2 linked regions of the Neurospora crassa OR74A genome follow. The protein of the gene in region 2 interacts with the protein of the main gene of each other region in a pairwise test. Links are inferred from orthologs where the notes say so. Each region holds a gene or a part of one and is shown on either strand. Other genes may lie near its edges.

What was found.
Region 1: the proteins of NCU03818 (region 2) and NCU09219 interact in binary tests that used the Saccharomyces cerevisiae proteins (3 or more experiments, as listed by UniProt). The link is inferred for Neurospora crassa OR74A from reciprocal best matches to the Saccharomyces cerevisiae genes NEO1 and DOP1.

The regions. Positions count from the first base shown.
Region 1 is NC_026501.1:5,887,151-5,903,590, forward strand, and holds the start of NCU09219 (dopey domain-containing protein), read right to left. Parts: upstream 5,270-16,440; 5' UTR 4,932-5,269; coding exon 4,835-4,931; intron 4,756-4,834; coding exon 2,226-4,755; intron 2,168-2,225; coding exon 1,932-2,167; intron 1,880-1,931; coding exon 1-1,879. Other genes in the region: NCU09220 (vacuolar fusion protein mon-1), read left to right, coding at 5,785-7,821; NCU09221 (HIT finger domain-containing protein), read right to left, coding at 9,355-10,202, 10,271-10,544; NCU09222 (hypothetical protein), read right to left, coding at 11,232-11,318, 11,386-11,491, 11,846-12,003; NCU09223 (protein disulfide-isomerase), read right to left, coding at 12,841-14,225, 14,290-14,422. UniProt on the Saccharomyces cerevisiae protein: Required for traffic between late Golgi and early endosomes, and for the normal structure and organization of the endoplasmic reticulum. Required for normal cellular morphogenesis.
Region 2 is NC_026505.1:2,504,213-2,520,590, reverse strand, and holds NCU03818 (phospholipid-translocating P-type ATPase), read left to right. Parts: upstream 1-6,932; 5' UTR 6,933-7,384; coding exon 7,385-10,852; intron 10,853-10,918; coding exon 10,919-11,328; intron 11,329-11,423; coding exon 11,424-11,541; 3' UTR 11,542-11,910; downstream 11,911-16,378. Other genes in the region: NCU03819 (COPII coat assembly protein sec-16, variant 1), read right to left, coding at 1-47, 115-5,698; NCU03817 (FMI1 protein), read right to left, coding at 12,002-12,808, 12,978-13,367; NCU03816 (hypothetical protein), read left to right, coding at 15,051-15,331, 15,450-16,378. UniProt on the Saccharomyces cerevisiae protein: Flippase that catalyzes the hydrolysis of ATP coupled to the transport of lysophosphatidylserine, phosphatidylethanolamine, and phosphatidylserine from the lumenal to the cytosolic leaflet of the Golgi apparatus membrane and ensures the maintenance of asymmetric distribution of phospholipids.

The sequences.
Region 1 (16,440 bases), on a different chromosome or scaffold from region 2:
GCATCGGCAACGTCCTTCTTCCAGGACTTTTGGTTGTTAGGTAGGCGGGATAGTTGGTGGAGCAACACCAGGGTGTTCTTTGACACGGTGTCGGGGAAGAACTTGGACCGCAGCGTTGGGCCGATCACGTTGGCCGAGATGGAGGTGGCAGCCGTGAGGATGCGGTCATTTTCAACGAGGATCTTGGGCAGGTTGGGAACGATATTGGAGAGGATCCCAACGACATCGTCTGCGCGTTCGAATGGAGTCCGGCTGGCTGCTACGGAAAGCGTCCGAGGGGCCTCATTTGGCTTCTTTTCCGAGAGAAGAAGGTTGGTAGTGGATGAAGAGTAGCTTGTCGAAGAGTTTTCCACGAAGCTGGTTGGCCGTGTAGTGAAGATAGCCGCCAGGAGACGGAGGAAGAGATCCGCCAGTTCACGACGCATCTTCCTCTGTTCTCCAAAGTTGGTGTTGTCCACCTTCTCACCCAGAATCGCAGCAAACTCCAGCAAACTTGGCAACGCCTGGCGATGGGGCAGTGGGTTGCCGAGGAGGTCCTTCAGGAAGATCATGCAGTCCTGCCATATTTCATCCATCGCATCATCCTCCAGAGTGCGTGCGTAGTCAACCAGGAAAATCACCACGTCTGTATCCTGCAGCTCGATAGTAAGGGTCGACCTCCTTGAGGGATCCAGCGCGCCCGGGTTAGTCCTGCTGTATATAGCGTTGAAAAGTGCCGGGATTGTATGCTGCGGCCGCGATCCATCAAGGGCAGGCAAGAGATTGAACACCTCGGCAGCCTTGGACGTATCAGAACTATCCAGTGCACCCCTCCATATCCCAATCACCGTTTCCAAGCACTCTAGCGTCTCAGCAGCAAAAAGATGCTCAAGGAGCCTCCGCGCTCGGTTTCTCATCCGTAAAGAGGTGTAGTTAAACGAAGCGCCCGAAGAGTTGTCTTGCAGGGAGGCATCGCTCCCTTGACCCCAGGACCAGATCTTGAAGCAGATGCGCACCGCATCTTGGAAGGCCAAAAGGACGGTAAGTCGGTCGTTAGCTGTGGCGCTCCGGGTTTGCGGTGTGTCGGATGAGAAGACACCGGAGACCATGTTGCCGAAAAAGCCTTGAGGCTGGTCTGGGTTCTTGACAACCTGGGCTCTGGCCTCTTCAGCCAGTAGCCTGTCGTGTCCCCTTGCCAGTACCTGCTCGAGGCCATTCAGTAGGGATATTAAGGTAGTCTCGGGACCAATCTGACTGTGCGTTTGAGGCTCGTCGGAGGCTCGGAAGAGCTGCTGTAAGCGGCTGAAGGTGGTGGAAATTTGACTGCAGAGTGTCTCGACCAAGGGAATCAGGACCTGAAAGATTGAATCTGAGTAAAGCGGTAGGCACTCAGCAAGAAAGCTAATCCAGCTATCCAAGACGTGTCGGCTGCTAGGTGCACTGAGTCCGGAAAGGATACACTTTAGCAGCGTGGGTGGAGGCGGCTGAAGAACGGATGGTGGTTTCCCTCCAGCCACAGCTCGGAAGGCTTTAGCCGAGTCTGCCGTAACACTTGCGGCACGTTTCTCTGCGGTTGGTGATTCTGGAAGTTCAACTGGTGCTAACTCACGTAGCTTGAGGGCCGCAAAGACAACGTCCAAAAGCAAGGTCTGGACGTAAGGCTCCGGACCTGAAAGCGACTGGGTGAGCATATCGATGAGAGGGTTCTCAAGGTGCAACTGTGCTAGTGGTTCAGCATAGGGGTTCACCAGGATAGGATGCATTACGCCCAATGCTGAACGATAAAGCTGTGTCACCCTTATTTGAGAGCTTTCGTCGTTCAAAGTGTTGACGTCTGCCATGCATTGCATGGCAACCTTGAGGAAAAACTCCTGGAAGGTCAGATCATCCTCGGATCCGGCTGATCTGGTTAGCTTCCATGTACAAGATGCCCGAATGGGATGATGACGTACTAATCTCGGATAATGATGGGAAGTAAGAATCTGGGCGGATAGTCTTTTTCGCAAGGAACGCCCAAATGCTATCAGGGGTAAAGCGAAAGACATTGGATAAGGAGCGGAGATAATACACAGCCAGCTCCACATCATCCTCGTCGGAGAATTTATGAACCTCTTTGGCTTCAGCCGAGGTTGTTTGGCGCCTCAGACATGATAGCTCGGCGAACTTGGACACGAAGATGTTGAAAATTCTGGGAGCAAAGGCGTTAGCAAGCTGTGACTTGTGACCCAGAAGGCCTGGGGTCATACTTGTCTATCCCGACTAGGCTGCTCAGCCAACTCTTGACTGTCATGAACAGCTGCGTCCGCTCATCGGTGAGGGCATCTAACATTAGGAATAACGGGCGGGTAAGCATGACTTCGTAATTATCTATACCACCAAGACGTGGCGGCGCCTTTGCGTCAAAGATGGGGGTCTTGGGTCCTCGGCGATCGCTTCCAGAGGGGTTATCTTGAAGACTATGCGACCAGAGCACACTGAAGCTTCTTCCAGGGTCGGCAGGACGTTGGATAAATGTCCCTGAAACATCTTTCTCCAGCATTAGAGAACATATGGCTGCCTCGATGTCTCGATTGGTTGGTGTCAGTGCCGTCTGGAGTAACCAAAGACTTCGGACCGTCTCAACGTGGTACTTCGGCTCTGACGATGATAAAAAGCTCCATGCGTGGCGTACCAAAGGACTAACCAACTCAGAGAGGTCCACATGGGAAATCCGGTCGGCAGAATAAAGGTGGGTAGAAAGGGTTAATAGCGAATAATAGGTGGTAAAGGTAATAAAAGCATCTGATGACAGACACCCGTGAATGGAAGCAAGAAGTTTCTTCGTATCGAGGAACGATCTGTGAGGTGTCTTGGTGAGAAGAAGCAAGAGAACTCTGCTCTTTGCAGCGACAGTCGGGCCGGACTCGCGTTGACTGAAACTCTCACAGTTCATGTCGCAAGCTTTTTGCAACAAGAGTTCCGCCACATTCTGCGGTACAAATGGGGGAGAGGTGGCGTCCAAGTTTCCTTGTTCGGCGTGGTAGAAGTTCTTGATTTTCTTCAGCAGTTCAACATTCGGGATTCCGGCCAAAACCTTGGACTCGATAGCTTTAGCTTTTGCGCTCGTCGGGAACGCTCGTTCTGGTACGAGCTCCAACAAGCTTGCAGCTATTGTTAAAGCCTGGACCAACAAAGTCGTACCGTCTGGTAGCAGAGTGGTCGCATAAGCATCACTCTCTTTCAACTCCTCGATCATGCATAAGATGGAGAGCACCGTAAGCGGAGCATGAATGGTTATCATCTCTTCTTCGCTGACGTTGAAATGGCCGAGAATGAACTTGACAAGGTCAAGCTTGTCGCTACGATCAGTCACTGAGAGTTTGCCAGGACTGATAGCCTGCGCCACGAGGTTGAGAATTTCGCTGTATATCAACCCGCTCTCGACTCCGTCAAAGAAAACACTTGCACTTCGGAGCACCTCGGTGAAGTCTGATTTGCTGTCTGCTTTTGCTTTGAAGTCTCGGACACTGTCAACAATGGGAAGAAATACCTCAGGCACAACCAAGCCGCCAATTTCCCACCTGTCCATCAAGGAAAGACAGATACGATATGGCTTCGCCCGGTCTGCCGGATTGTTCCCAACTCTACTAGCCTTAATCATGCCGAGTAGGGCCCGAGTCAGGGGTCGCAACCCAAATTCTTCAAAGTAGCTGGTCCTCGACATAAAGTAGGCAGGGGTGCTTGCAGTAGTTGTGGGAGAATCAGGGCCGCCTTCGCCCTCGTGAGCAGCTGTCGGCTCGGGGCCGAGGAGCCAGGTCCACAGCCGCCTGTTTAGACTCATATCTCTCCGGGTCGTTACCCCAACTGCGGTCTTCAGGAGGAGTTCTAGGTCGTCGGTCTTGGCCCTGGCTTGCAACACCTTGGAGTGCAACGGAAGATGGGTAACGAGCAAATCAAGAAAGCCACGTTGAATAAGGATCTGGTCATCGGCCAAACCGGCAGCAAAGCAGCGGATCAGCAATCCTGGCTCGGGAGACGTTACCAGCTGTACCAACTTGGCAGAAACCTCGGGATCCAAGCCATTGCGAGTGTCAGCCTTGTAGCCATCTGAATGTAACTGATGTCCCAGTTCAGGCAAGGCGCGCATAAGGTATGCCAAGGCCCCCGTCCTCCTGCTATGCCCGGTTATGGAAGCCAGAAAGAAACACTGCCAGAAGAAGTCGTCACCAGAGGAGTGAGTTGGCGTTATTGTCTCGCTTTCTGGTGGGCGGAGAGCGGCCTTGACGCGTTCCACAAGCTTCAATGTGCGCTCAAAGTCCTCGCTGGTTTCCTCCTCTAGGCCTGGCAAAAGAGCAAGTATGATCGATTTCAAGGCAGGTCGTAGGGATCGCGGGTTTACACCCAAGAAGTGGCGTTCGAGTAGGTCGAGGAAAGGGGTCCGGACGGAAAGGGAGGCGAACGACAGAACCGACGCAAGGCCGGGGAGATAGAGTGGCAGGTCTCGCGACAGACCTTCCTTGCCAATGACTGTGAAGATGAAATTGTAGACCTCGAGCGTCTTTTGGTGAACCCCGGACGGAAGAGACGGGTTCAAGCATTGTGACAGACGCTTTGCGACGGTAGCCTTGGCGGGGATGGTGTTGATGGTGGACGGTCGAGCTTGGAGTGCCTTGAGAAGGCGGTTGAGGAAGGAGATGTAGTCGGCCCATTCTTGGAGGGCTGTATCGAACAGCGAGAGAGCTCGTTCGACGCCGGAAGCGTACTTGCGGTAGTTCTTGTCCTTCGGCGCAACTTCGTCTGTCCATCACCTGGTTAGCTACCTGCTAGCTGTATTCTAGCGGGCATGTTTCAAGGGAGGGAGAGGAACATAACATACCATTCCCAAGCTGGTTCCTCCATTGCTTGGGTACTGGAGATTCGCGGCCAGAGCTCTCGGGGGAGATGGACCTCGGCCGGGTAGGATCAAGAGACATGGTTGGCGGCGGGTGGTGGCGATCGTGGGAGGAGGAGACCTTGAGAGTCTAGGGATTCGAGAACAGGACGTCCCCTGATCTAGGCAGACTGCTATAGGTCATTGCCGTCTCGGAGGGGGCGACGGGAAACGGGGGACGGGATGGGTGGTATCTTTGGTGTTGAGTCGCAAAGGTACCCGAAGAGAACTCCACTGAAAGATGTCACGGTAGAGGTAGAGGTAGCTTCCACTCCAAACAGACAGTTCGAGGTTCCCGTGTCGTTGGTGACGACGACTGGACGTTGAGGTGCAGCAGGCGGGAGCTAGGTGTCGACGGTCGGGTGTCACAGTGAGGCTGTGGGTTAGGTTGTTAGGGTGGGCATCTGTGTAAGACACAGTGGAGCAGCGCTGTTGATGCTGTTCGTCAGCGCACCACTCCCACCCTGCCGTTGCCTGCACCCGCTAACGGGGTTCCATCCAATCACTGATCTTCCCCACTAACATCCAGCTGCAGGAGCGGCCCGCTATCTTATCGCTAACATTTTTGGGTTCTGGAAGGTCTGGCGGTTGCGAGTTGCGATTGAAACCCCTCCCCCTTCTGGCGTACAGGGGGATGGCATGTGTGACCGCTCTCATTGTCGTCATTCTTCCGGGTCCTTCTGTCCCCTTTCTTCCACTTCCACCTATCTCTCATCCGAACTCCGTCATTTTCGGACCACAGATCCCCGACATCTCCATCCCCCATGGAGCGGACTTGCGAATAAGCCAGCGGAAATAACCAAAGAGTGAACGAAAGCGTCCGACAATGCCCAGTTCGACCAGCTCGACATCGGTGAACCTGTCGACGCCGACCTGCCACTGTCTTACTCACAACAATGGACCGGGACACTGAAGCCGGAAGCAACGATGGCACCAACGACAACAACGACACAACCATACCCCCTCACACCCCCGAAAGCAACATCGAAGCGGTCGATCATGTCCCTCCCGTACCGCGCCGTCCCAGTCCCAAGTTGTCGGACGATGGCGCATCCGGAGCCCTACATGTAGCGGCCGCTTCCAGGCCCACCACCCAAGTGTCGACCATCGATATCTCTACTCTGTCCTTTCCCGATGGATCGCGCGGCACTTTCTCGACGAGCGCGACGAGCGCGACGAGCGCGACGAGCGCGACAAGATCCGTGGCCTCGCCCCAGTCGAGCGCCAGCGGTTATACCTCCCCGCGCACTGACCTGGTCGAGACTGTGAGCGTCGCGAGCTATCCCGCAACCCTCCGTCCACCTGGCGACCTGGCAGATCTTGTCACCGGCGAGTTTAACAGGCGAAGCCGGGCATGGTCCATGCTGAGGACTCAGTCATCCTCTGTGCAGCCCTTCGAGGCCAGCAGGACCGGCGCATGCGACAGCTTGACCGGGTTCGAGAAGGAGTTCGATAATATCCCCGAACTAGGCGAGAAGGGCATCACCGACGAGCAGCGGCTGTCACTCTGGAAATCCAAGATGAAACACTACATGATCCTGTCCTCCGCCGGAAAGCCCATTTGGAGTCGACACGGCGATACAAGTCTGATCAACTCTTACATGGGAGTCGTACAGACCATCATCTCCTTCTACGAAGGCGCAAAGGACCCCCTACTAGGTTTCACCGCCGGAAACGCTCGCTTCGTCATCAGCACTCAAGGCCCCCTTTACTTTGTGGCCATCAGCAGACTAGGCGAGAGCGATGCCCAGCTTCGAAGTCAACTAGACGCTCTATATATGCAGATCCTGTCCACACTCACACTTCCGACCCTCAAGAACATCTTTGTGCATCGTCCCTCAACCGACCTCCGAAAGCCATTGGAGGGAACCGAATCCCTCCTCTCCTCCCTCGCCGATTCCTTCACCAAGGGCTCTCCTTCTGCACTCCTCGGCGCCTTGGAATGCCTAAGATTGCGCAAATCTCACCGGGCCACCATCAACAATGCCTTTCTCAAGTGCCGCAGCGACAAGCTGCTCTACGGCCTAATCGTAGCCGGGGGCAAGCTAGTGAGCGTGATCCGGCCGCGCAAACACTCGCTCCACCCAAGCGACCTCCAGCTAATCTTCAACATGCTCTTTGAATCCGGCGGCATCCGCGCCGGCGGCGGCGAGAACTGGGTACCGCTGTGCCTACCAGCCTTTAACAACCGCGGTTATCTTTACATGTATGTGAGCTTTTTTGACTCGGTAGAGACGGCGGAAGAAAACAACAGCAACAACACCAACAATCCAGAACAACCACCACAACCACCACCACCAAAACCAGTGACTTCACCAGACGAAGAAATTGCCATAATCCTCATCTCCGCCGATAAAGAATCCTTTTTCGAACTCAAATCCATGCGTGACAAACTCGCCCTTCAACTGGCCAAGAACGGTTCTCTGGCACTCATCCAATCCGCAGCCCGTCAAGGCCGGCCGCGTATTGAGACCATCTTGAACACCAAACCCCTCTCCAAGGAAGCAGGACAAGGCCAGGGACAAGGGCAACTAAGTCACTTTCTCTACAAATCCCGCGCAAATGTTCAATTCTGCCAATCCAGTCTCTCTCCTGCTTTCGAAACTTCGTCCCCCCCTTTACCTTCCTCCTCACCCTCTGAAAACGGTTCTTCCCAAAAGACGACAGAAAAACTAGTCTCCCGCCGCCGCCTAATGACGCTCTACCACCACTTACACGCTTCGATTCATGCCAAGCACTCGCACCTAAAAGTCTTGCATCTGGTGAGCGAGGACGCGGCGAGCCTGGCTTGGATCACGCCCGTGTTCGAGTTCTACTGCGTGGCGGGACCGAATATGTCGAGTGGAATCATGACACAGTGCGCAAACAAGGTAGTGCAATGGGCGAAGAGAGAGGAGGAGCGGTTATTTATCATTGGGGGTGGTGTGTTTTGATGATCATATTAACGAATTAGCATTGGGTATCATAATGGTTTTCTGGTGTGTACGGCATGTTTCGGTTTGCTTTCCTGGGTTGTTGATTCTGGTCATTTAGGGAGATACCACACATATATATCGGTTGTTTTTTTCGTATAGGTTGTTAAAGATAGTTCATTGCTCTTCAGTTCTCCATAATGTTTTTTCGGTATTATACTCGATTGTATGATACTCATAGCTTTCTGCTTCTGTTTACTCAAGCCTTAATTCAAACCATATGGACAGACATGATTCACATATGTATTAATACCTCCCAAGTCGCACTATTTCTGCCTTTTGGACAGGTGGAGATTGTTACCCCGTCCCTAAACCCAAGTGTATATCTGACTCCCTGGTTTGCCATAACCCAATGCTTATCTTCCCATAGTGTCCTTCATGGGATCATCTTTGTCCGACATAGCGGTATTGGAAAGGTTCCATCCATCCTTGAAAAGCAGATATAGTGAAGAGTATCCAGCTAAAGCCATTAACATCATAAAGCCATTCATCGGTTTCGATTAAGGTATTGCCTTCCCTCAACTCAAAGGTGAATTAAACATATAGGAGAACTGCGCAAAAGTGTTGCAAACACATGACTCGACCCCATCATGCAAAGCCGAGAAATCAAAATCCGAACTTTTCACCACCCGTTAAGTTACCATACCATCCAGTCCTGGGACTCGAGCTTAATCCCGGAGTGTTGGCGCTTTACCAACCCATCACCAAATCCTTTCCAACCTTTCCGTCCATCCCGTCCTTCCCTTCCTTTTCGTCTCTTCGTTTGTCAGAGCCATTGGCGACGGAACTTGCTCGATCACCGTTGGAGGAGGAGCTATAACTATAAGTAGTGACTGACATGGGGGTCCAAAGCAAAGATGACTCGCTCCCGCCCTTCGCCAGGGGCATTCTTGAAGTGAACACCACCACCACGGGACTTGACGGGGAGTGGCATGAAGGCATTAGAGTTATCGCTCGTGCTGGGTGTGGGAAGTAGCCTCTTTCCAGCCGCTTCCAGCAATAACTCGATAGAGTCTCCTGGCAACCCTGTCCCTTGTGAACCCAGTTTATGGGCTTTATATCGATGCTTGTTGATGCGGCGTTGCTTGCCAGTACTGTTGCTCAAAGTGGAAGTCTCAACAACGGGTGCTTGGTGTTTCAGTGCAATGCTTCCATCATCAAAATATGTGAACTGTACAGTAGAGGTCCTTCATTCCTCTCTAAGCCTCGCTGAAAGAGTCAAGTTGCCCTTAACTCGTCTCGGCCAAGGGAATCAAATTCCACTCCAGAAGAGAAGACTGAGCCTGCATTTCGGTTCTCCAATTTCTGTTTCCATGTACTGCATGATACTGATCGCGTGTCAACGGCCTTTCAGATTAGGACTTCAGTAGAGACGGACCTCAATGGTAACTCGTCCATGAGCACCATTGGCCGAGGTGACACATCCTTCAGTTCTGCTTCCACATCTCCTACCCACCTTACCTCTTATCTTCCCGCTGCCTCGAAACCCTAAACCTACAACCCATATCTAACCAAACACTCCTCCCGATGCGCCTCCAGACACTCCAAAGCACAAACCCTCGCCCCGCACTTGATGCACTTCACACGTCCCCAATACCCACACACTTCGCAAAACCTACGAGCCGGGTATCTGCCCTCCTCCTCCTCGGTCCACTGCGCCCGCGCCTCGAGGTAGCTCAGCGGTGGAGCCGTTATCAACGCCCGGAGCTCTTCGTCCGTTGGGAAGGGAGGGACGCGCGAGACGAGCAGGGGGTCGTCGTCGCCTGGGTGGGGAGTGGGTGGTGGTCGGTTGTAGGCTGGTAGGATGGTGCCGTCTGGTGGGTAGGATTGGATGTTTGGTTGTTCTGTTGTTGTTGGTGGTGGTGTTGCTGTTGTTGAGGGCTCAAGGGATGTTGGTGTGTCGGGACGTGGGGGAGGAAATGGTTCTGAGGAGTCTGGGGTTATGGTTTCTCCTGTGGCTTCAGGGCCATCGGCCATCTCTATATCGTCGCTGCCGGCGACGGCTTTCGGTTGTGGTTGGGTCTTGAGCTTTTTGTGGGACCCGCCCTTTTCTTCTTTTGCTCCTGCTGCTGCTGCTGCTGCTGTCGCTGCTGCCCTTTTGGGAGCGGCCGAGGAGCGTTTATTTGAACTTGCGGTGGTGATAGTCGATGGAGCGGGCGAGTTCCTCGCTGTTGTTGTTGCTGTTGTTGTTGTTGTCGTCGGTGTTGGTTTGTTTACATGAGCTGCAAGTTGAGGATTGCTCTCGGCTAGTGCCAGGAAGGCTTGAAAGTCATCTAAGTGGTTCGCAAAGGTCTTTTGTGATTGTAGAATCTTGCGCACGTTCGGTGTGTGTTTGTTTTGGGCTGTTCCAACACCATGCCATGTCAATTCCGTAGTCTCTTCAGGATAAAAGGTTCGGATGATTGCGCACCTCTAGTCCCACCCGCCTTGGGCGGTATGGGAATCTGCGCATCCCTATGTGAATCTTTGTCCAGTGCCTCGAGATCCTTCCGAATCTTCGCATCCTGCCTGGCAGTAAGATCGGGAGCGCCGACATTGGCCTTGTCGCGCGCAGCACGTTTGCGGTTGAGAGGTTGTAGCGCAGCGGCCGCGGCGGGCGTAAGGCCGGTATCTGGGACGTACGCCCATCCTGGGGCGTTTTTCGTCTTTTGACTGGCGACTTCGATGACGCCGAAATTGTTCATGATGTTTGTGTCTGTTTGGGGTGTTGGAGAGATGCAGAAACGTGCGTTATCGCGAGATCAATAAGGCGCGATGACCAAAGTTCAAATGGTGATGTAAGAGGGAAGTTTTAGATGGGCCGAACCGCGTGGCGCGTTTACAGCGCTAGGCCGGGGTCCGGGGTTGCTATAAAACGGCGCGAGATCACTGGATCTGCCAGAGCTACCCCTGAGCGTCCACTCAAGCCCAGGGTCACCTAGTCTACGAGTCTACGAGGAAATCCAATGGGAGAGCTCATTGTGGGTTGAGCTTTGAACATCGGTTTCAGAGCTCCCGTCTGGTACCTCGACAGGGTGATAAGAGTCGTGATCATGCTTACCTATTGAATGTTTACCCATAGAATTGCCCGGTATTTGAGTGTCTAGGTACCAGTGGTGAGAAAACCTCTTCCTTGTCGATTCCAACTTCTGGCTTCGAGCAGCCCAATTTCGATGTACAGCGAAAGCTCCCGTCCGATTGCCACCAGAGCACGCTCTCCTCCAATTTCAAACCATGAAAAATAAACACCACTTCGCACTTCAGCTTTTGATGTCAATAAAACCCCATCCCGCATCCTTAGTTCTTATTCTTTTGTTCTTCACATAACGGTTGATTATATGCCCATGTCCCCAAACTTCTCATGTATTCCTTCCTCATCCGCAAGATATCGATTACTTCCTCTTCCTCTCCAACGCCTCCATCTTCTCCTCCAAGGTAACAAGGTATTTGCTCAGCCTGTCAACGGCATTCTGAAGAGCCTGTGTTTTCGAATGTCAGCAATGTTTCAATCTCTTAATCTAATCATGTTGTTGTATGTCCACCTACGTAGATATCTTCCGTCAAGAGGTCGTTCGAGGCCTTGTACTCTTGGAGCGCATAGTAGTAGACAGCACTGCCGGCGAGAGTGCTACCGAAGAAGAAGCCGAAAAGCCTGTGTCATGATCGGCGGGTTAGCATTCCTCGTGTCTATGCAGGGGCTTGTATAAAACCTGTCCCCTTCTCGTCGTTGTCGCCAGCTTTTCCTCAAGCTGCTTGTCTCCTTCCAGCCCCAAACGTACAATCCTCCGTCACATCTTCATCCCGTCTCATCCCAATGACCAGTCATTCCCATGGATTTCCCCTATTCAACCCTTCTTTGGTCGTTTCCGGGATCATCTCTTGCTGCCTTCGCCCATTTTCCACGCACCGCGCACCCGATCCAGTAGCATCCCCAAGTCCACAACTTCCCGACCGAACCTCAGCGAATTCCAAATCCAAAATGAACCCCCAAGATGAATAAACTCACCCCCCACGAAAAGCACCAACAGGTTTCCTGGCAGGCAGCGGTGGCACCGCGCCCGCGCCGGGAAGTCCAGCGCTGGAGGTCGTAGCGACAGACTCGAACCTCCTTGCTGATGTCTGGAAGCCGCGACGGAAGGCGGCGGATAGGACTCTGGAGGCCATTTTACGTTTTGTATGGTGTGAATGTCTGTCTTCGTTTGGTCCAATTGGAGCCGCGTTTATGAATGCGATTGCGATTGCGATTGTGTCAAATTCGTTCGGTCGTTGAGATGTTCGTCGTAGTACTCGCTATAATGCGATCGGGGATTTCAAAGTTGCGGGAGGAGATTGGTATCGATCGATTCGCTGGTTCGTTTGGGGAAAGGGGAAATAGCGATGTTTGAAGCGACGGGTGTGATAGATGGAAGCTGGGACTGAACCCAAACCAACCGAACCAGGAACTGAAACGACGTCAGGTCAGTATCGCCAGACGGGGCAGGCACCCCGCGGGAACGGCTAAGTAAAGGTTGTGACGGCATGACAGGGGTCTTGGGTGGTGGGTGCAATTGAGCCAATCAGTGAGAGGGAAACAAACGGGCGGAGTGTGGAGGCAGAATGTCAATCGGCTTGTTACGGTGGACGTGTCCTCGAGGTTCGGTCGTTGCCGTCAACCGGTTGTAAACTGATAAGGATCGCGATAAGGCCCTCAAGGTGCAAGCTTGGACAGACAAAGAGGAAGGAATAGAACAAAGGAAACGACTTGATAATTGACAACTCATCACGAATGAAGAAACACATGACTGAATTATATCTTGTGCGTGTTTTTGTAGATTCCGCTAACAACTGATAGACTATATTGAATTCCCTTACAAACATGCCTTTTGGTATCTTACTCCCAGATCCGTACAAGGCCGCTTCTTTCCCGAAAGGTGCTGTTGCCCAACGAAAGACCCTTGTTCCCAGTAAAACCCATAAATGATGATGCTATTAAATACTTAATGTCTCGTCTCGACTGACCCTTTAGAGCTCGTCGTGGCTGGTCTCCTTGGCGGGCTCCTCGACGGTGCCAGTCTCGGTGGAGGAACCAGACTCGGCGGAAGCGGCAACGGATTCCTCAGCCTCAGCCGGGGGAGAAGCCTTGTACTTGCCGTTCTCGGAGATGAACTTGATCAAATCCTCAACGGTGCGGGGGCCAGAGTACTCGACGGGCTTGTCCTTGGCACCGGCAGCGTAGAGCTTGATGGTGGGGAAGCCCTGGATCTCATCGGGAACGTCGTTCTGGGTAGCATCAACCTTGGCAATGACAACCTTGTCCTTGAAATCCGAGTTGGCATAGAGGGTAGCAAGCTCATCGTACTTGGGAGCGAGAGCCTTGCAGTGACCGCACCAGGGAGCGTAGAACTCGATAAGAACATCCTTGGTGTCGTCAAGGACAATGTCGTCGTAGCTCTTGGCGACGACGACAGTAACGGGGCCCTCCTGGGTCTCGGGGATGGGCTCAGACTTGATCGTGGGCTCGACCTTGCCAGCAACGAAGTCATCAACGAACTTCTTGATGGAGTCGGCGGTAATCTCCTTCTCCTGGTCGAAGGGGAACTTTAGGTTCTTGGTGGTGTCCTGGATAGCGAAGGCGGGGAACTTGTCGGCCTTGAGGTTCAGGTTGCCGGCATGAGCACCGAAAGCCTTGGCGTCAATGGTAGCGAAGTTGATGACACCACGCTGGGCCTCAGCGATGGACTTGAGGGCCTCGCTAAGCTCCTTGCGCTCTTCGGGGGTCTCGGCAAAGATGTAGGCGAGGGGGATGCCAGCGGACATGTAGCCGGCATAGGTGTCGGGGCCAACCTCACCGATGAGGGGGGTGGAGGCAGTCTTGGCAAACTTCTCAATGGCCTCGGGGTCGAACTTCTCAGTGAAAACGGCCTTACCCTCATCAAAATCCTTGTAGAGAACGATGGCAGGGGCGGTGACACCCTCAGCCTCGGCGAGAGCAGCATCACTGCTGGCACCGAAGGGGTACTCGTCGCGGAGCTTATCGGCGACCTTGGAGAAGGTCTCGTTGGAGGCCTTGTCGGCGGCATCGAGGTAGGCAACAATGACGACCTTGTCGGCCTTCTTGAACTCCTCAATGTTGTCCTTGTTGAGTTCGGAGACGGAGGGAAGAGACTGCTTGATCATATAGGAAGTGATGGCAGCAGCCTTGCGCTGGCCCTTGTAGGGGGAGACGACTTCGAGGCCACGGAAGACCTTGAGGGTAGGGTAGCCCTCGACGCCGTGCTGCTGGCACAACTCGGACTCCTCAGTGCAATCGATCTTAGCGAGCTTGATGTTCTTCTCTTTGAGGGTGGTAGCAGCCTCCTCGTATTCGGGGGCAAGGGCCTTGCAGTGGCCGCACCAAGGTGCGAAGACTGAAGAGCAAGACTGTTAGCAAGAACTACCTACATAGGAAGCTGAATCTCAAGGGTAGCTTACATTCAGCAAGAACAATGTCGTTGGTTTTGACGAAGTCATCGAAGGTGTCCTTCTTCAACTGGATAACATCGGAGGCAGTGGCCACGGCGGCCGCCGCGAGAAGCCCGAGGGCAAACTTGGTAGGTGCGTGCATGTTTACGTTTCCCGGCTGTCTGGGAAAGCGGAGTTAGATTTGCAAGTTGATATATAAGAATGATGCTTGGATATTGTTCTTTTGGGTTGCTTCTCAAAGCCGTCGTGGAGGTTTGTATGGTGGAACAGGAAGGACGGAGCACGGAGGTCGTGAATGGATTAGGTTGCTCAACGGGAAGGTCGTAGCTCTGGCGGGGCCGCAGTACACAGGCAAACGTGGGTACGTAGTGGGTACTACTTACTCTGGGCTATTTAAAGGCAGAAAAGGGGCCTGGGATTTGGGAAGAACTAGAACTGGTGACTGAGAGAAGTTGAAATTTTGAAGATGGAAAATGTCCCGGAAACAGAGGCAGGCGGGTGGTGAAGGCGAGAAGGGGGATCTGCTTTTTAATGTGTTATCTCCAGCCCGTGTTTATAAGCCAGGTTGCTTTCTGTCGGTCGAGTGAACAGGTGTCTTCTCCGCCGCTACGAAAATGATACACGCCGGGCAGTGGGCAATCAGCCTTGGAGCCTGCTGAGTGGTCAGTGGCGGCACCTGCAGTGGTGCTGCAGGGCGCCAGGGTCAAAGAGCTCGCTCGCGGCTGTCGGCCGCGAGGCGGAGAACAACCCCGAGACTGGACTGTTGTCAACGAAGGATGAAAGGGATCCTTCGGATGCCAGGGGCGGCGATTTTTGCCATTCATTATTCAAGCCTGAATACAGGTGGCATTATGCTGTTTGTTGATTACATATCGGATCATCAGTCCCATGTTGCATTACAGATTTACTACCGTTCCATGTTTTCCCATTTTCGTCGCAAATGGGTTGGAATAGTGAGTGGAAAGTGAACATCATACAACGAGATATGCCAACCTAACTAAACATAAACATGATGGCTGGACCTTCTCAAAGAGCTGGCCATAGAGGTACCTTTTCTCTCAATAACAATCCCATCCGTTCCTGCACCAGAACCCTTTTATTTCCGCCCCGTAGTAACGGCCACCTTGCATCAGTGCGTGGGGTCCCATCAGAAGAGAATGGGCAGCTTTGAATCCGGACAGCTTTCCCCGCAAGCCAAGAAACACCCTTTCTGTGCCGCCCTGGGCTGCTGTGCCGCGTACCGTCACGCCGTTCCTTCATGGTCTCAGGGACCGAAACTCCACTGGGTGAATGGGCGGGCAGAACGGGGCCGTAGTGCAGTGCTTCCGTCTTCCCCATCGGGCAATTTGAACAACATCTTGCCGCCACGAGTCCATGTCGATGGCAGTCATTTCATACGAGGTATGCGCTGCGAGTGGTGTCCTTTAATAAGCTGACACGCTTGATGAGCTGAACCGGTAGGATCTTGGTTTTGCGTATAGCTCCACCAAGATCTCACCTCGCTATTTTCAGTTGTCAGCTTCGGACCCCTTCGGCGGAGCTTTGCTGTCGTTCCCAAGCCAGCACTCATTGTGGCTGGGTTCAGTATTCGAGCGCAATTGCACGGTACGTGGGGAAGAGATACGGCCACGTTCGGATATTTCATCGCTACTACTATGACACTGCAAATGTCGGAGAGCCGTTGTGAGGCCTGATGCTGGCACCGTTCAGGACAGTGAACTGATCATGTCGCTTTCTATTACATCCGAATGGGTGAGGCCCGGCCTTATCCAAGAACCTGCATGTCTACAACGCGCTGACAACAAGTATATACCAGCATGAAGTTCGACGCTTTAGATCAGGATCTACATTTGAAAGACCGATGCCACCAGTAGTTGTGCTAGTTCTGTTGTTACTTCGATCTACCAACGGCCTGTGGGGGTTCGATTGAGTTGCGATGCCCGGGCGTCGACTACTTCTATGTCTCTGCGAAGATGCAACACGGGTGATGGTGATGGGTGAGTATCGTGGGGTCAGGAGAATACATGCTTGCCAGAAAGCGCTTGCAGCTGTGATCAATAATGTCACGTCGATGCTAAGGGAACAGACGAGTGTCTGTTGTGCGAGGGGAGATTTCGGGGGCAGGCAGGTCGTATCGAACCACAACAGAAAAGAAGAAGG
Region 2 (16,378 bases):
GAAGCCCCAGCCCTTCTTGGCGGCTTTGGCTTCTGCGGCGCGTTTGGCTGGAGAGTGATGTTAGCGATACGTGAGGGTTGAAAATGCTATGTAGGTGGGACTGATGGTACTAACCTTCTTCTTCGGCGATCCGACGGACCATTTCCTCGTTCTCCCGGTCAATTTCAGCCTTGGACTTGCCGGCAGGCTTCGGCGCCGCGGGGAAATCATCGTCATCGTCATCGTACATAGGGCCCTTCTTCTTCGGCTTGGGCTTTTCTTCCTCAGATTGATCGTCATCTTTCGAAGGTGGGGTGTCGGGTTCGTAAGAAGGCGGTTCATAGCTATATGGCTGGAATGAAGGGGGCTCAAAGGTGTTGACACCTTCGCCACCCTGGTTAGAGTCACCGTTCTCCTTGGAGGCACCCTCCTCCTCGTCATTGGTCGCCGGCGCCTCGTAAGGGGTGAATGACGGAGGCTCATATCCGTACGACGGCGGCTGGTAGCCAGTTGACGGGGCCGAAGGGGGTTCGTTAGAGGGCTCATCATTTGCCGAGACGTTGTTTTGTGGAGTGAAGGGTTGATAACCAGAAGTAGTAGCCGCTGGGGATGTCAAACTTTGCTGAGGCTGCATGTTATGCAGAGAGTAGGATGATTCCTGTGGCGTCGTGCCGTAAGGTGTATATGGCTGAGCAGGCGAAGATGTACGGTTGGGAGCATAGCTGCTGTGCGAATAGCCCCGCTGAGAGTCCAAAGACTGACGCGGAAGCTCAACTGAACTTCTGCTGTACTCGCCTGAGGCCCGTTCCATTGATGAGCGAGGCGCATATGGAGAGTTTGTCTCATAGGGGTTATAGTTCGGAGTCGATGGTTGAGGAGCGCCTGGTGCGTAGCGTGAAGCCGTCCGTGTAGGAGGAGGAGGAGAGAACATATTAGGACCGTTCGTCACGGGAGCACTAGGCATGCCATAGCTGGGGATGGTCGCGCCAAAGGTCTCAAGATTGTTGACAGAGGGCGAGCGACTGATAGTCGGGGTTCCTCCGGCGATTCGTGCAAAGGGACCAGATTCTCCCGCAGCGTCAGGTGAGCCCTTACTGCCATCCTCGTTGTCATCTCCAGCGACAAACTTGTTGAACCGATTCCACATGGAATCAGATACCTTATTCATGCTAGGCTTCGGGATCCACGAGTTTGATTCCTCCTTGGGTGCCTGCCTCAATCGCTTCATCAAGTCATCGACATAGGCCTCAAGGATGGGATGGTAATAAGGAGAGCGCTTCGTCTGCGCGGTGATCGCAGCCGTGATAGCCTCGCAGTATTGAAGGGCCTTGTCTCTAAAGCCATACTCGGCCAGGGCGTATGCGTGCTGAAGCTTGTACGCTGCCAGGTGAGGATTGCTGACGGGCACGGTACCACCAGCAAGGCTCTGGCCGTACTCATAAACCTCGCTCAACAAAAGAGGCTCAATCTCCTTTGCGAAATGGTCCGCCTGCCGCCTATGGTCAGACCCAACAAGAACGAAGTTAGAGTTCGGGTTGTCCAAGCCGCCGAAGATGGTTTGACTTCTGGCAAACAAGAAGCAAATATGAGCCGCCTCGGCTCTTCCATAGCCTGATAGCAAATTGCCCAAAAAGTTGATGGCTCGGGCATCATCAGCAGTCCTGTTGCTGAGGATCAGGGAGAGGGTTTCGCGCCACTTATCAAGACCACCCATGGCGTCCTTGGAGGGACCAGAAGATGAATTTTTGGCCACTAGCTGAAGACCAGCTCGAGCATGGGCGGGCACCAGCTCGTCCACGCTTTCTTCGTGGTTGCCAGAGAGGACATCATAGAGAGCAGCAAGCGACTCATTGTTATGACCGGTGGAATTCACCTCGTTCTTCACAAATTCTTGAGCGACCCGCTTATAGAGGTCAGGGTTAAGGGCGTTGGCCAGCAGGAAGGCATGGCCCCAAAGCCGCTTATCGACCGCAGCCCACACTGCCTTCTCATTGTCGCCACTGATGAGGTGGTTGCGGATCTGCTCAACAGCAGAAGAATCAACCGAGTCGGCTTGTAGTGAAGTCGTGGCAGAATTGCCCATTCCTGATGGGTTCAGAGCATTTGCGAACTCAGGCTGACCACCAATGGTTGAAGCCTCCGGGTACAGGATTTCGCGCACAGCTTGGTTAACGGTCGGGTTTCCTTCCAACACGCCATCATGCTCGACAAAGACCCTCAGAATCTTCCAAAGCAAGAGTCTCTCTGTTGTCCGCTTGTCATCGTGAGACGGGTTGAGCTGATGAGACAGGTTATGTGGCACAGTCCTCTCCAGCATCTCAATTCCGTTTGTTAACCAGGCAATGGTCTCCTTCTTCTTCGACTTCCCCTTTAGAGGCCCAGGGAATTTGGCCAAGCGCTCCTCCATTGGCTCTATGTCCTTCATGCTCTTGACCTTGACTTCTCCTGGGCTACGAATAACCATGGGGGCTGTTTGGCCCATGCCATATCGTGGCACGTTCTTGGGGAACATTGTTACCAGAGCTCCACCTACGCCCCAGGAAATGAGAGGAACACCACGCCATCTCTGTAGGGGATCATGTTCTCTACCATCTGTCGGGGGAACTAGGTTAAAATTCTGAGTGTTACCACGCGGCCGCGAGGTAATCGTAGAAATGGGGGGGAAAGTAGAACTGGGTTGCATGGTGATAGGAGAATACAACGCAGCCCGCGGCGAAGTCGCGTCAGTGACCGACGAAGGACGAGGGATAGGTTCAATAGGCTTTACATTCCTGTTCCCGTAGAGGGCACCAGGGGATTGAGTCTGCGACCGAGGTGGTGGCGCGAATTCGTGAGATGGAGCACTAGCCGCAGGCTGATAGCTGTATGCCGCCCTCTGAGGGGACGTCACCGGCTGCACAGTTAGAGACTGCGGAGGCGGTGTCCTTCTAGAACGGTGGGGCATAGCGCCATGTCTTGACGCCGTAGGAGAGGTCTGGTGGGATGCCGGGACTTGGTTGGGGGACACCATACCCTGCATGGGGCCTTCTTCTTCCACCTCCTGAGTCGGAGGTAGAGAAGGCACTCTCTGCAGTCGCAAGTCGTACAACGAGCTGCTGCTCCGCTTTTCCGCCAGGCCACTTTCTGCATGGCTAGAAACAAGAGGCCTGGACTCGAAATGTGCTAGCGGACTTGAGGTACGGGGTTGATGCGGCAAAACCGGTGGTAGAACCGGTGGCACCGAAGTAGTCGGAGTATAACCCGAACTCGTTGGCCGAGAAGCTGGCGGGGCGGGAGAGTAACGGCTTGCCGCAGCAGGTGGGACGGGAGTGCTGAGCTGTGACCCACTGGAAGGCGCTGGAGAATAACGACTTGAAGCCGGGGCAGGAACAGCGGGAGCAAGGCTCGTAGTGCTGGGCTGTATCGAAGCATAAGGGTTGACACGTGGCGGCGCAACCAGGTTGGGAACCTCCGCATGCTGGGTAAAGGAAGAGTTGGGAACAGATCCCATGGCAGACGGCATTCCAGGTACTGGTGGCTGCGAGGCGATAGAAGGTGGGCCAGCCGGGGGCGGTGGGCCGTATGGGCTAGACTGTGCCGGCGATGCGGTGCCCAATGTATTTCGAGAAGCTGGGCGCGCCTTTGTGACCACAGGAAGCTCTTCAAAGAACTTCTCCTTCGGCTTGGCTTCACCACGAGGCGGTGGTGGCTTGACACCAGGCTGAGATGAGTGTGGAACAGAGGTAGGAGGTGGTGGAGGAGGCAGGTGAGTAGCGCTTTTGGAAGGCGGTGGAGCGGCCGGTGCTGTCACAGGCTTGTTAAGAGTTGCCGTACTTGGGCGCTTCTTAACCTTGACTACCTCCATAGGAAGGTCGTACGGTGACTGGTAGCCGCCCTTCTTGTCGACGAAGCTTTGGGCTTTCCTCTCAATCTGTGGCGGAGGGACCGCGCCGTATCCAAATCTCCCGCTTGGAGGTGGAGCCGAGACAGGGGCGCCAAAGGGCGTAACAGACGGCGTCTGCGCAACCGCGCTGGGTGCGGCAGGAAAGTAAGGATTTGACGGCGCCGAAGTTAGGGGTGGCGCAGTCGGGGCATAGGGATTCGGGGCTCCGGTCAGGCTTGGAGTTTGGGTCTGAGGCATGTACCGGGTGGTAGGGGTTGTCGTGGTGTTGGAGCCAGCTACGCTAGGCGCTCTGGGCTGGGTTGTTTCCTCCATTGTTGGGAACTCTTCCGAATCGTCGAGAAAGCCCTCATCATCACTCCCAAAGAACGCAGCCGGATCAATCTCCTTCTCCTTGATCTCATTCGACGCCTCTGTGGAATCATCAAGAAGCGATAGGGTGTCCTCTTCATCGTCAGCAAACAGTTCCTTCCACTTGGCCTCAACGTCTTCGCCTGCTGGCTTCTGCTCCTCGTGACCTTCACCTGTGTTCAGATCTGTACTCGTTATCTCGGGATGGTCGTGGGTTTGCGTCTCTACCGTGGCGACGGCCTCTTCCTCGGGCTGCTCTTCCACTGGTGGGAAGCTTGGCTGGACGGAGCCCATATCCATAGCGCCCAATACTTGCATCGTCGACTTGCGTTCGAGCGGCTGCGCCTCAAAGTCAGCTTGGTTGACGCTCCCTTGCTGAACCTGGCTGAAAAAGTCGTCCTCATCATTGGCATCCTCTCCTCCGAATAGGTCCTTTGTATCTTCCCGCTCGGCTGTCGAGTTTCCATCATGTGCGATCAGGGGAACACCTTCTTCAAAACGGGCATCAAGCGCCTCAGTGGCCTTAGCACCTAGGTCACCAACCATGTACTGCTGAGAATTGTTCGCGTCTTGGGCGCCAAACTGATCAAATCCATCGTTCTGTGCCTCAGACAACTGGCTGAAGAACCCATCATCGCCCTGTACCTCGACCTCATCGTCATCACCAAGGAAATTTGCGACCTGGGGCTGGACAATTGCTGACTGCTCCAAATGAGGATCGGTTTGAGGTTGCTGCTGCTGCTGCTGTACCTGCTGTACCTGTTGATTTTCTTGTTGCTCTTCCTGCTGTTGCTCGTGCTGTTCTAGGGGAGGAACAGGAGGAAAAGAGTTGGTTCGGTCGCTCGATGGCAAGAACTTGAAGGGATCCGTATCCGCTCGCGCGAGGTTCCACTCAGGATCGCCGTCATCGCTCCAGCTCGGCTCATGGGGAATGGTTCGAGTGAAGGACATCGTACTCGTGTGCTTGGAAGCGACATCCGATGGCTCGTCTGTATCGGCCTTTTCTGTAGTAGTAGCATCGGTAGGCTCCACATGTTCGGGGACGAGGTCAACGGTGGCAGCGTCTCCTGGGACGGCCTCGGTAGCTTGCGCGTTCTCTACGATGGGCTCGGGAGCTTCGTCCGTCTGAGTGGGAGCTGGCTCGACAGCTTCAGCATCTTCCGTAGTTACATGTGCGGTCTCGGTCTGTTCGGTAGCGGTATCGGGGGTGTCGGTATCAGTTTCACTGGTTATTTGGCTCGTAGCTTGCGCATCAGTCGCGGGTAGTGTCGTATGACTGCCTGTTCCATAGTCGGGAAACCAGGAGTCAGAGGCGCCATTCTGGGCGGGCACGTCCTCTTCTCCTCCATCAATTCCCCAGAAGTCGGAGCCATCTTGGGCTACACCGTTCGCATGATCTGTTGAGTCGGCGACGGTGTTATCAGTCGGCAAGGGGGCCGGGAGGTCGGCGGCCGATTCTGGCATGAATGCCGGGTTCCATGAAGCCATGGCGGGCGATTAGATGGCGCGATACAGCTGGGGACGCTGTATGGGCGCGCAAAAACACAAAAAAAATATTGAATTACTGTATATAATAAGTAAGATTAGTACATGAAGAAGGGGAGAGAAGGTGGGAATATTTGAAGATGGAGAAAGGGTAGTATTTGTTGTTGGCCAGGAGGAGCTAGCTACAAACAGTAGAAGTGGGAAGTCCAGGATGGGGCGAAACTCGACGGGATCGCTTGATCGCGTAACGAACCGAACGGCGATTGGCGACGGGATTGAGAATGGGGAGCGGACCTGGGCAACTGGGCTGCCCTGTTGAGGAGGAGCCTCAGAGGACTGCGGGCAAGACAACCCCTGTTCAGCAGGCCCAGAGTGCGCAATTGTCGAATGGGAATGGGAATAGGGGCAAGCAAAAGGGACGACTAACTTGTACAAGTAGGTTCAGCAGCTGATCATGGCTGTCAACATGAGGAAGAAAGTCTAACGCCGGCTGGATTTCGTCAATGACAAGGAAGAGGGCAATGCTGTCGTCCTGTTTGTTACTACAGATCTGGGAAACGTTGGGATGGAATGGTCGATCACACGTGGGAAAGGATCATAGTATGAGACTGCGCGACTGCAGAACCTCAATGGAAGGCCAAGTTCAGTTGTTGCAACTTGTCAAGATCCAAGACTGTGACGATGGAGGCGCACCGGGAGCGGCCGTCGGAAGATTCCTGGGAAAATCCGCGGAAATCAAGACACAGAGGTCGCAGAAGGTTGACTGCTGCCCTGTCTGCACAATAGTACACTACGCTACGTGGTACATTTAGGCGGTCTGATATATGGATGGCGGGGAATGCGCGGGGATCTCTAACAAAAAACGTTACAACAGCTGTCCTTCCATGTTACATGGATGGGGAAGCAGTATACCTACTTAGCTTATCGGCCTGTCCCAGTGTTGAGAATATACTCAGTTATTTAGGTGAATTCGATGGATGCCGGTAGGTACTGCTTTAACAGATAAGCGCGCTCAGTCCCTCCTCCAGCATCATCACAGCCACTGCACGAACTTGGACGCACCAGGAGGGAGCCTGTCATCGATGGGTAGGTAGGTACCTCTAGAGTGGAGGTACGAGGTACGGTATGAAGAGCAGGCCGCGCACACAGTCCGATCACTGCCACTTTACCACCACTTTCAGTTCAAGTTGTTAGTTTCCGTTCCGAGTCCCCGTTTGTGACTTTCTTTCCGTCACATGCCATCGTCATCTCTCAGTTCCCTACCTCTACCTAGTTGATGTGCCCGCGGACGACTTGATGAAAACATTGTACGAATCACTACCATGACTGGACTATTTTCTATCGAGTAACTTGACACTATCTCGACTCCCGTCCCCTTGCAGGCGCAGCACACCCGACCCCAGAAGCACGTAGCACCCAGCAGCAAGACAGACGCACCTAGACTACCAACCACGGCCACTATGGGAAGGAGGAGTTGATCTCGACACCACGAGGACCCTCCCAAGTGACCCCTAACTCAACCCAAACAAACCAACCACAGATCCGAACGCAGTCGCGACCACAGCCCAAGCTACCCTTAGCTACAGTTAGGCCGCGACAGATCAGACAAAAAAAAAACAAAAAAGGACAACACGACTCAAGAGCATACGCTATCTAGCTGTGGAGGAAAAGGGCTTCGCCCAATGCGGAATGCCTTCTTCAGACACATACCATCTCTCCAAGCCGCCCGATTCCCACGTCGTCGATGAATCCGACTCCGACTTGGAGATAGACCTCGAAGAACTCGACCCCCAGGCAACCGACCCCAATAACCACCACCAGTCCTTGGGGCAACACCGCAGCCGCAACTCGTCCGAACAACGCCCTCCTCCCCCAACAACAAGTATAGCACTTCGCAATCTTCGCATGGGGAGTCTACGCCGTGGCGCCAAACGCAATGGATATGGCGAGCTAGGCCGTAGCCGGGACGGAAACGACGACGACGACGCCGACGCTCTGCTCCGCCATGATCGCCACTCGGTTGGCAGTGCCACCCACGACGAGGATGCCGGCCTCCTCAGCGAACATGGTGGTGGCGGCCGAATACGCACCAGCAGTGGAAGACGACGGAGGTCTTTCGCCGGTGACGGTCTTCGAAACATCTCGATGAAGCTACCAGGCTTCATGTCGGGCGACCAGAGCAACCATAACGACGAGCAGGAACAGGAGGAAGACGACCCCTCATCGTCACGATTAGTTGCAGTTGGCTCATCCCAGTCTACCCGCTTCCCACCCAACATCATATCCAACGCAAAGTACACAGCATGGAGTTTTCTGCCAGTCACTTTGTACAACGAGTTCTCCTTCTTCTTCAACATGTACTTCCTCCTGGTCGCCCTCTCCCAGGCCATCCCCGCACTACGAATCGGCTATCTCTCCACCTACGTTGCACCCTTGGCATTTGTCTTGTTCATCACCCTAGCAAAGGAGGCTTACGACGATATCGAACGGAGAAGAAGGGACAACGAGGCGAATTCCGAAGAGTACACCGTTCTGCAGTTCGACGATCCAGGCGCTAGTCTAGGCATCAACCGGCCTAGGAGGAAGATGAAATCGTCTCATACACGAACGGGCTCTAAACGTCTTGGCATTGAGCAGGAAAATGATCGGCTATCGGATATCCAAGAGGAGGAAGAACAGACTGAAGGTCGGGGTCTTCGCGAATTGCCGGCATCCTACCTATCCGAAGTCAGCAAAAAGTCGCGGGACCTCAAGGTCGGTGACGTCTTGAAGCTTACCAAGGGCCATCGCGTTCCGGCAGATGTTATCATTCTCAAGTGCTTGGCACACGAATCAGCTGCCAACAAGGAGACCGAAGAGCAAGAAGTACCCGCGAAGGAGGAGATGCTGCTCCTGGACCATGTCGATGATGACGATGTTGGAGAGGGCAGTTCCAAGAATGCGAAAACGTCCAAGGAGAGCAACAATAATGGCGCCGAGGGAAGCTCTAGCGGCGAGACTTTTATTCGGACCGACCAACTGGACGGTGAAACTGATTGGAAGCTGCGGTTGGCGTCCCCGTTATCTCAAAACCTTAGCACTGAGGAACTAGTTCGTCTCCGTGTCACGGCCGGAAAACCTGACAAAAGGGTCAATGAGTTCGTCGGAACATTGGAACTTCTTCCTTCGCGACAAGATGTCATGAGCGGTGCCGCCTACAACCCTAGGGAGGGCGACGATGTCAAGGCAGCGCCTCTCTCGATCGACAACACGGCCTGGGCGAATACGGTCATCGCATCGAATGCGACAACCCTCGCAGTGATTGTTTATACCGGACCTCAAACCCGGTCAGCCCTGTCTACATCACCTTCGCGATCAAAGACCGGCCTTCTAGAGTATGAGATCAACTCACTCACCAAAATCCTTTGCTTCCTGACGCTCTTCCTGTCTATCGTTCTTGTTGCGCTGGAAGGCTTCAGCACGGCCAAGGGAAACATCTGGTACGTGAAGATCATGAGATTCTTAGTGTTATTCTCCACCATCGTCCCCATTAGTCTCCGTGTCAACCTGGATCTCGGCAAGTCTGTCTACTCATGGTTTATCCAAAGAGATCCTGGGATTCCCGGGGCTGTCGTGCGAACCAGCACGATTCCGGAGGATCTGGGACGGATAGAGTATCTACTGAGTGACAAGACGGGCACTCTAACCCAAAACGAAATGGAAATGAAAAAGATCCACGTCGGCACTGTCTCGTATGCCAACGAAGCAATGGATGAGGTTGCAACCTACGTGAAGCAGGGGTTTAATCTGAGCTCATCGGCCTCTTCCGCAAGCTTGGCTTTGGCAACCCCGTCTTCAACATACTCGGCCGCCAATGTTGGTGCCACGAGGACACGCCGAGAGATTGGGTCGCGTGTCCGTGATGTCGTACTAGCTCTTGCCCTCTGCCACAACGTTACCCCAACTTCGGAAGAAGACGAGAACGGTCACACCGTCAACTCATACCAAGCCAGCTCGCCTGACGAGATTGCCATTGTAAAATGGACCGAGTCCGTAGGCTTGCGTCTGGCTCACCGAGATCGCAAGAACATCGTTCTCGAATCCGCCGAAACCGGCCGGCCAGTGGTCAAGGTTCGTATTCTCGACATTTTCCCCTTCACTTCGGAGGGCAAGCGCATGGGCATCATTGTCCAGTTCTACGAAAAGCTCCAGCCCGGGAACCCCAGCCTCGGCAGCAGCGAGATTTGGTTCTACCAAAAGGGTGCGGACACTGTCATGAGCTCCATCGTCGCTGCCAACGACTGGCTCGATGAGGAGACGGCCAACATGGCGCGCGAAGGTCTCCGCACGCTCGTGGTCGGCAGGAAGCGTCTGTCTCTGAAGGAATACCAGGAGTTCTCGGCCAAGCACCACGAAGCCTCGCTCGCCATCAGCGGCCGCGAAGCCAACATGCAGGCTGTCGTCTCGCAGTATCTCGAGCATAACCTGGAACTGCTTGGTGTGACGGGCGTCGAAGATAAGCTGCAAAAGGACGTCAAACCTTCTCTAGAACTTCTTCGAAACGCCGGCATTAAAATCTGGATGCTTACAGGCGACAAGGTCGAAACCGCTCGCTGCGTCGCCGTGAGCTCCAAGCTTGTAGCCAGGGGTCAGTACATCCACACGATTGCCAAGCTCAGGAGGAAGGACGGCGCGCAAGATAATCTGGACCTGCTCCGAAGCAAGACCGATTCCTGTCTGCTCATCGATGGAGAGTCCCTCGCCATGTACCTGACCCACTTCCGACGCGAGTTCATCTCCGTAGCCGTGCTTTTGCCGACCGTCGTGGCCTGCCGTTGCTCGCCTACCCAGAAAGCCGAGGTCGCCAAGCTAATCAAGGAGTACACCAAGAAGCGCGTCTGCTGTATCGGGGACGGTGGAAACGATGTTTCCATGATCCAGGCTGCTGACGTGGGCGTGGGTATTGTGGGTAAGGAAGGTCGCCAGGCTAGTTTGGCGGCCGACTTTTCCATCGAGCAGTTTCATCACTTGACCAAGCTTTTGGTGTGGCACGGTCGTAATAGCTATAAGCGCAGCGCAAAGCTGGCGCAGTTTGTCATTCATCGTGGCTTGATTATTGCTGTCTGTCAGACTATGTACAGTATTGCTCTCAAGTTTGAGCCGGAGGGTCTCTACAAGGTACGTTTGACTTGGCGAGTGATCCCTTTCGTTGCAGTCGTAGTTACTAACCTAAACAAAACACAGGACTGGCTGATGGTAGGCTACGCAACAGTCTACACCGCATTCCCCGTCCTCTCTCTCGTCCTCGACAAGGACGTAGACGAGGACCTTGCTAACCTGTACCCCGAGCTCTACAAGGAATTAACCTCGGGTAGCTCTCTTTCCTACCGGACGTTTTTCGTTTGGGTCTTCGTCTCCATCTATCAGGGCTGTCTGATCCAGGGCCTGTCTCAAGTCCTCACCGGCATCGATGGCCCCCGCATGTTGGCCGTCAGTTACACGGTGCTGGTGCTCAACGAGCTGCTCATGGTTGCGATCGAGATCACGACGTGGCATTGGGTCATGGTGGTCTCGATTGTGGGAACCTTTCTGATGTACATTGTCTCGATACCGTTTTTGGGGGATTATTTTGATTTGAAGTTTGTTTTGACTTTGTGAGTGTTATTACCTTTTCTCTCTCTCTCCCTGGGGGTACTACCGTATCCCTTTAAAAAGATTGTTCACTAGACTGACTGACCAAAATAAACAGGGGCTTCTTATGGCGCGTGGCTGCTATCGCTGCTATCTCGCTCATCCCGACGTATGCGGCCAAGGTGATTAGGAGGACGATGAAACCGCCTTCGTATAGGAAGGTCCAGGGGATATAAGAGTTAGATGTGGGCAAAAGAAAGAAGAAGAGGAAGAAGAAGAGGCTTGAGCTGGGATGGGAGGCAGTGGATTGGAATTGAAAAAAAAACACAGTGTCGAGGCTGGCGTCTCTTGTTTTTCTCTTTGTTGACTTTTATACACACTAGACGTCCTACATACCTCTACACAGTTGGTATAGCGCTGATACTACCATTGGTATCTCAACATCTCCAGTGCTTGTTTTGCCCAAGCGTTGGTGTGCATGATGACATTGTTCGCTAAACCATTCAAAAGATGGACGCGGGGCTGCTTGTATTCGTTACTTGGGAGTGTTCACTCACTATTGTGGGTATGCTTAGCGATGTCACGGTGATCAAGAAACATTCAGCTTTGATCGAAATTGAATTCAGCTATGAAGACTTTTCACGAAGATCTCACAAATCCTTACAGGCTAAGTAAGGTACGCAGATACCTAGGGGTCTACAAGGGCAACCTCAAAATCTCACCACCCTGCTTGATCCCGCCCCTGAACAGCTCCTTGATCACGTTCCCCTTCTTGATCGTCTCCTGCACAATCCCCTCCACATGCTTCGGCTCAACCCTACCGTACCAAATGCCATGTCCCGCCAGTGGATGCGGCACGTCCGAGTCATCATAAGACTTCAAGCCCGGCGGGATATAAACAATCACGTTGCCCGCAAATTTGTGGCCACCAATGTGGCTAATCAGTCCAACTCTTGCTCCCCAGACCCCCTTCTTTTTCTCCAGGTCCACCACGGCCTTCTCAGCAGCGCCCTTCAGCACTTCAATCCCCGGCCCTTGTTGTTGTTTTTGTTGTTGTTGTTGTTGACCTTGCTCCGCCAGCCTCGTCTCAAACTCACTCCTCAACAGAGGCCCGTACACCCCACACCGCTGGTCCCGCCCGCCATGGCCGCAGATGAGAACAATCACCTCGTTGCGGATGTCGCGGACCCCGCCGGGTAGCATATCACCGTAGCTGGGATCGCGGAGGAGGGCCTCCCGCTTGGCGGGCGGCGAGTGGTTGTGCACGGGGTGCAGCTTTTCGGGAAGGAGGTGGGCTTTTACGAGGGCCTTGACGTGGTTGGGGTCGGAGGAGAGGGAGGGAACGTATTTGAAGTCGGGAAGGAGGTAGATGGATGTTGTTTTTGGGGGGGTGGTGGTGGTGTTTGTGGCCTCCTCTTGGTCGGCGGGCGAGGAAGACGCAGAAGAAGGAGACGAAGAAGATGGGGGGAAGGAGACGTTGAGGACGGAGATGTTGTGGAAGGGCTGTTGATGGGGGAGGAACAAACCTCAAGGGGGAGGTGGGAACTTACCTGTTAGCCATTACTGCTTTCTTTTTTTTTTTTCTTTTTCTTCTTCCCGTTGGATCCTCCACCATCTCCTTTAACTGTGACTGGCTGGACCTTCCTTTCCATGGGCTTTTTGGTCAACTCACATCGCTATAGGGACCTCCGCGGCCAATTAGATCACGCAGCATGGCGGCATGGTTTTGGCCATTGTCATCGTCCTCGATTTTGGATGGCCAGTCGTCCTTGCCAGTGCAGATTAGGACTTGCTGAGCGTGGTTTGGCATAAGACCGTTAAGAGGCGTGGTATGATCGATCTCGAAGCCTTCGGGGAACGAGGGAGTCGGGGCGCATGAGCAGGTGGGCGATGGGCAGGTATCGATGGTCGGGAAGGCCGCAGGGGCACCTCTTGCTGCGTATGTGCGCCGGAAGAAGGGGGCTACATTACTGGAGCGTTGAGCGCAAGCCCGCGTCGTCGAAGCGCTCAGGGCTGCGGTTGCGACTCGTGATGTTTGGCGGAGAGGTCGGAGGAGGAGCATGGTTGTTATTTGTGCGGATCAAATGCGCAAGGAAGACCGTCTGACCATGTAGGGCCCAATTCAGGGTCGGAGATGTCGTCTTTTATATCCCTTGTCGTTGTCGCAAATGGAGTTGGTGATGGATGATGGTGCTTAGTTAATTTATGTCAGCGGAGAGTTCGGAGTTACGAGTGCTTACTGTGTAACTACAGGGGTAACTTTTGGCGTCATCGAAGTGGAACAGCTTATCGTAGCTTTATCTGATTAGATAACGATGTATTGCATGCACCTCTAGAAGTACCATAGCGCGCACACGGTATCTGTAAAAATGGTCTTGGGTATGATTTCAATGCAAGTGGATTCTTTTTTTATAGAGGGAGCATTTTGCAATATAAAAATCATACCAGGTATGATCGCTTGGATAAAATGATAAAATTTGAAAAAATAATTTTATATACAATATTATTTTTACATTAAAATCATCTCCAAGATGCTTTTGTATTGAGTAGATTTTAATATATTAAATTTGCTATAAGTAAAAAGACTATTTTAAATTTATTTTACAAGCCTTTTTCAAAAAGAGTAATAAATAACTTTATTATAAGAATTTCCTAAATAACTTATTTTACACTTTTATACTTATAGTAAATATTTATTTTTACACTTAAAATCCTTATTAAAAATTTTATATTTATATTACTTATGGTATATAGAATTTTACATTGAAAGTTTTGATTTATAATATTCAGAATAAAATATATTATCCTTTATAACTTCGTAGTTTTAAAATCCTTGGACTTTTTTTATAATTACTTTTTGAATTACTTATATTATTAAAAGAATTAAATAACCCTTTAGAAATAATTATTTAGCTTAGTAGCTAAGTGGTTAATGAAGTAGTTCTTCATCGTTAGGTTCTTGTTCGATTCCTTATTGTAGTTGAAATTTTTATATTTATTCTTATTTCTAAACTGTAAAAAAATAGCATTATTTAATAAAGGTTCCCATACTCTAACCTTATATCTTATTCTTTTTTAATATTTATATAAGTTTATAAGTTAACTTCTTTGAAGAAAGATAGTCCTAACTGATATAGAACAAATTCAGCTTCCAAAATGAATTTAATTAATAAAAAAAAGTTATCAAAAGGTAAATCTTCTAGTAAGGAGATAAATATAATTATAAATTCTATTCTACATTAGAAAAAATTTCTATTTCAAATTTATCTATTATCTTTATAACCAATTTTTACAGTTTATCAACTTTTACTCAAACTGATCCATGGATACGTTTCAAGACAAAATATCTTGGAAGTGTAAAATCATAACAGAGATCATTTTTTACAAGTAGGGTTGCGCGCTATGGTACCTCTGAGTTCCTCGATTGCACCTTTCGGAAATGGTACCTCATCAGCGTCAACCGACTTCAACCGTCGATTTGACTTTGGTCGTGTAAACATAAGACTCCAGTGAGTGTGGCTCACCTGTTCGGGCTTCTATTACGATCTTTTTCTCTGGGCATTGGTCAATCTCACCAAATAGGTCAATAGTAAATATCAGCCATTAAAATAATAAGCGTATTAATTTCTCTACATTGACATCCATTCGCACCCTCACCTTGATGTACAGAAGAAAATAGCACCAAGAAGTCTCATAACGAGTTTGTGACCTAGAAGACAACCTTCGTAACATCTCCCGGAAAACTATGCCCCGAATCAAACCTCAACTCTTTTGGCAAGGCCGCAAAAAACTAGGTCTTAACGCCGCCAAACTTCTTCCCGTTTGTCGAACCCTCGAATCAACCGCCAACGAGCTCCGCTGGATCAAACAGCATGTCGCCGAAACCCCTTCCATCATTCCCTTTGGTGCCCGAGTATGGAAGCTATGCGACAGGCGAGGCAAAGGTCTCCCTTTGGCTTACGTGCTTGGCAACCAGCCATTCGGTGATCTCGAAATCAAGTGTCAACCAGGGGTGTTGATTCCCAGGTAGGTACATTTGCATGTATTCACTCAATCATCACTGTCTCGTTACTTTCTCCTCGACTGTTGTTAGCTTCTCTTCACTTACCGACTAACTAACACTCTTTTCCAACCAAAAAAAAAGAACGGAAACAGAATCCTACACCATCCACCTCTCCAACATCCTTCGCCACTCTCTTTCCAGTTCCAAGTCCGAATCAGATCCAGATCAACACCAACCCCTAAACATCATCGATCTATGCACCGGCACAGGCTGCATCCCACTCCTCCTCTACTCCCAACTCTCCCGCTCTCTCCCTCTCCAGTCCCTAAACATAGTGGGAGTCGACATCTCCCAAAAAGCCATCAACCTCTCCCGCCAAAACCTGCACCACAATCTCCATGCGCACCGCTTCCCTCGCCCTTCCAGTCCCAGAGATAAATCCCATCCACAAAGATTGCTCCACTTCCACAAAGCCGATATCTTCTCTCCTACCTCCTTAGACCCAATCCTCTCCACCCCTTCATCATCATCCACTTCCTCCTCCTCCTCCTCCTCCTCCTCCTCCTCTACAGGTACGGGTGAATGGGACCTCCTGACCTCCAACCCTCCTTACATCTCTCCCTCCGGCTTCGCTCTGTCCACCTCCCGCTCCGTGCGCAACTGGGAACCAAAACTCGCTCTCGTCCCGCCCGTCGAGCGCGTGGATTTACATCAGAAGCATTTCTACGACCACTGGTACTACCCAGACAACGAAATCCTGTTACAAACGGTGGAGTATCAGGAAGAAGACGTGTTTTATGCACGACTGCTGGAGATTGCGAGGACTTATAGGCCGAAAAGGGTGCTAATGGAGGTTGGGGACATGGAGCAGGCGAAGCGGGTGGTGGGGATGGTTTTGGGGGATGGGAAATTGAGGGGACTTTATTTCGGGAATGGGGAAGTGACTAGAGGAGGAAACGAAAGGGGGGCTGGGGCAGGTGCGGTGCAGATCTGGAGAGATGATTTGGTGGGGTTTGAAGGGTATGAAGAGATTATGGAGGTGGGAGTGGGAGTAGATGGACAAAAACAAA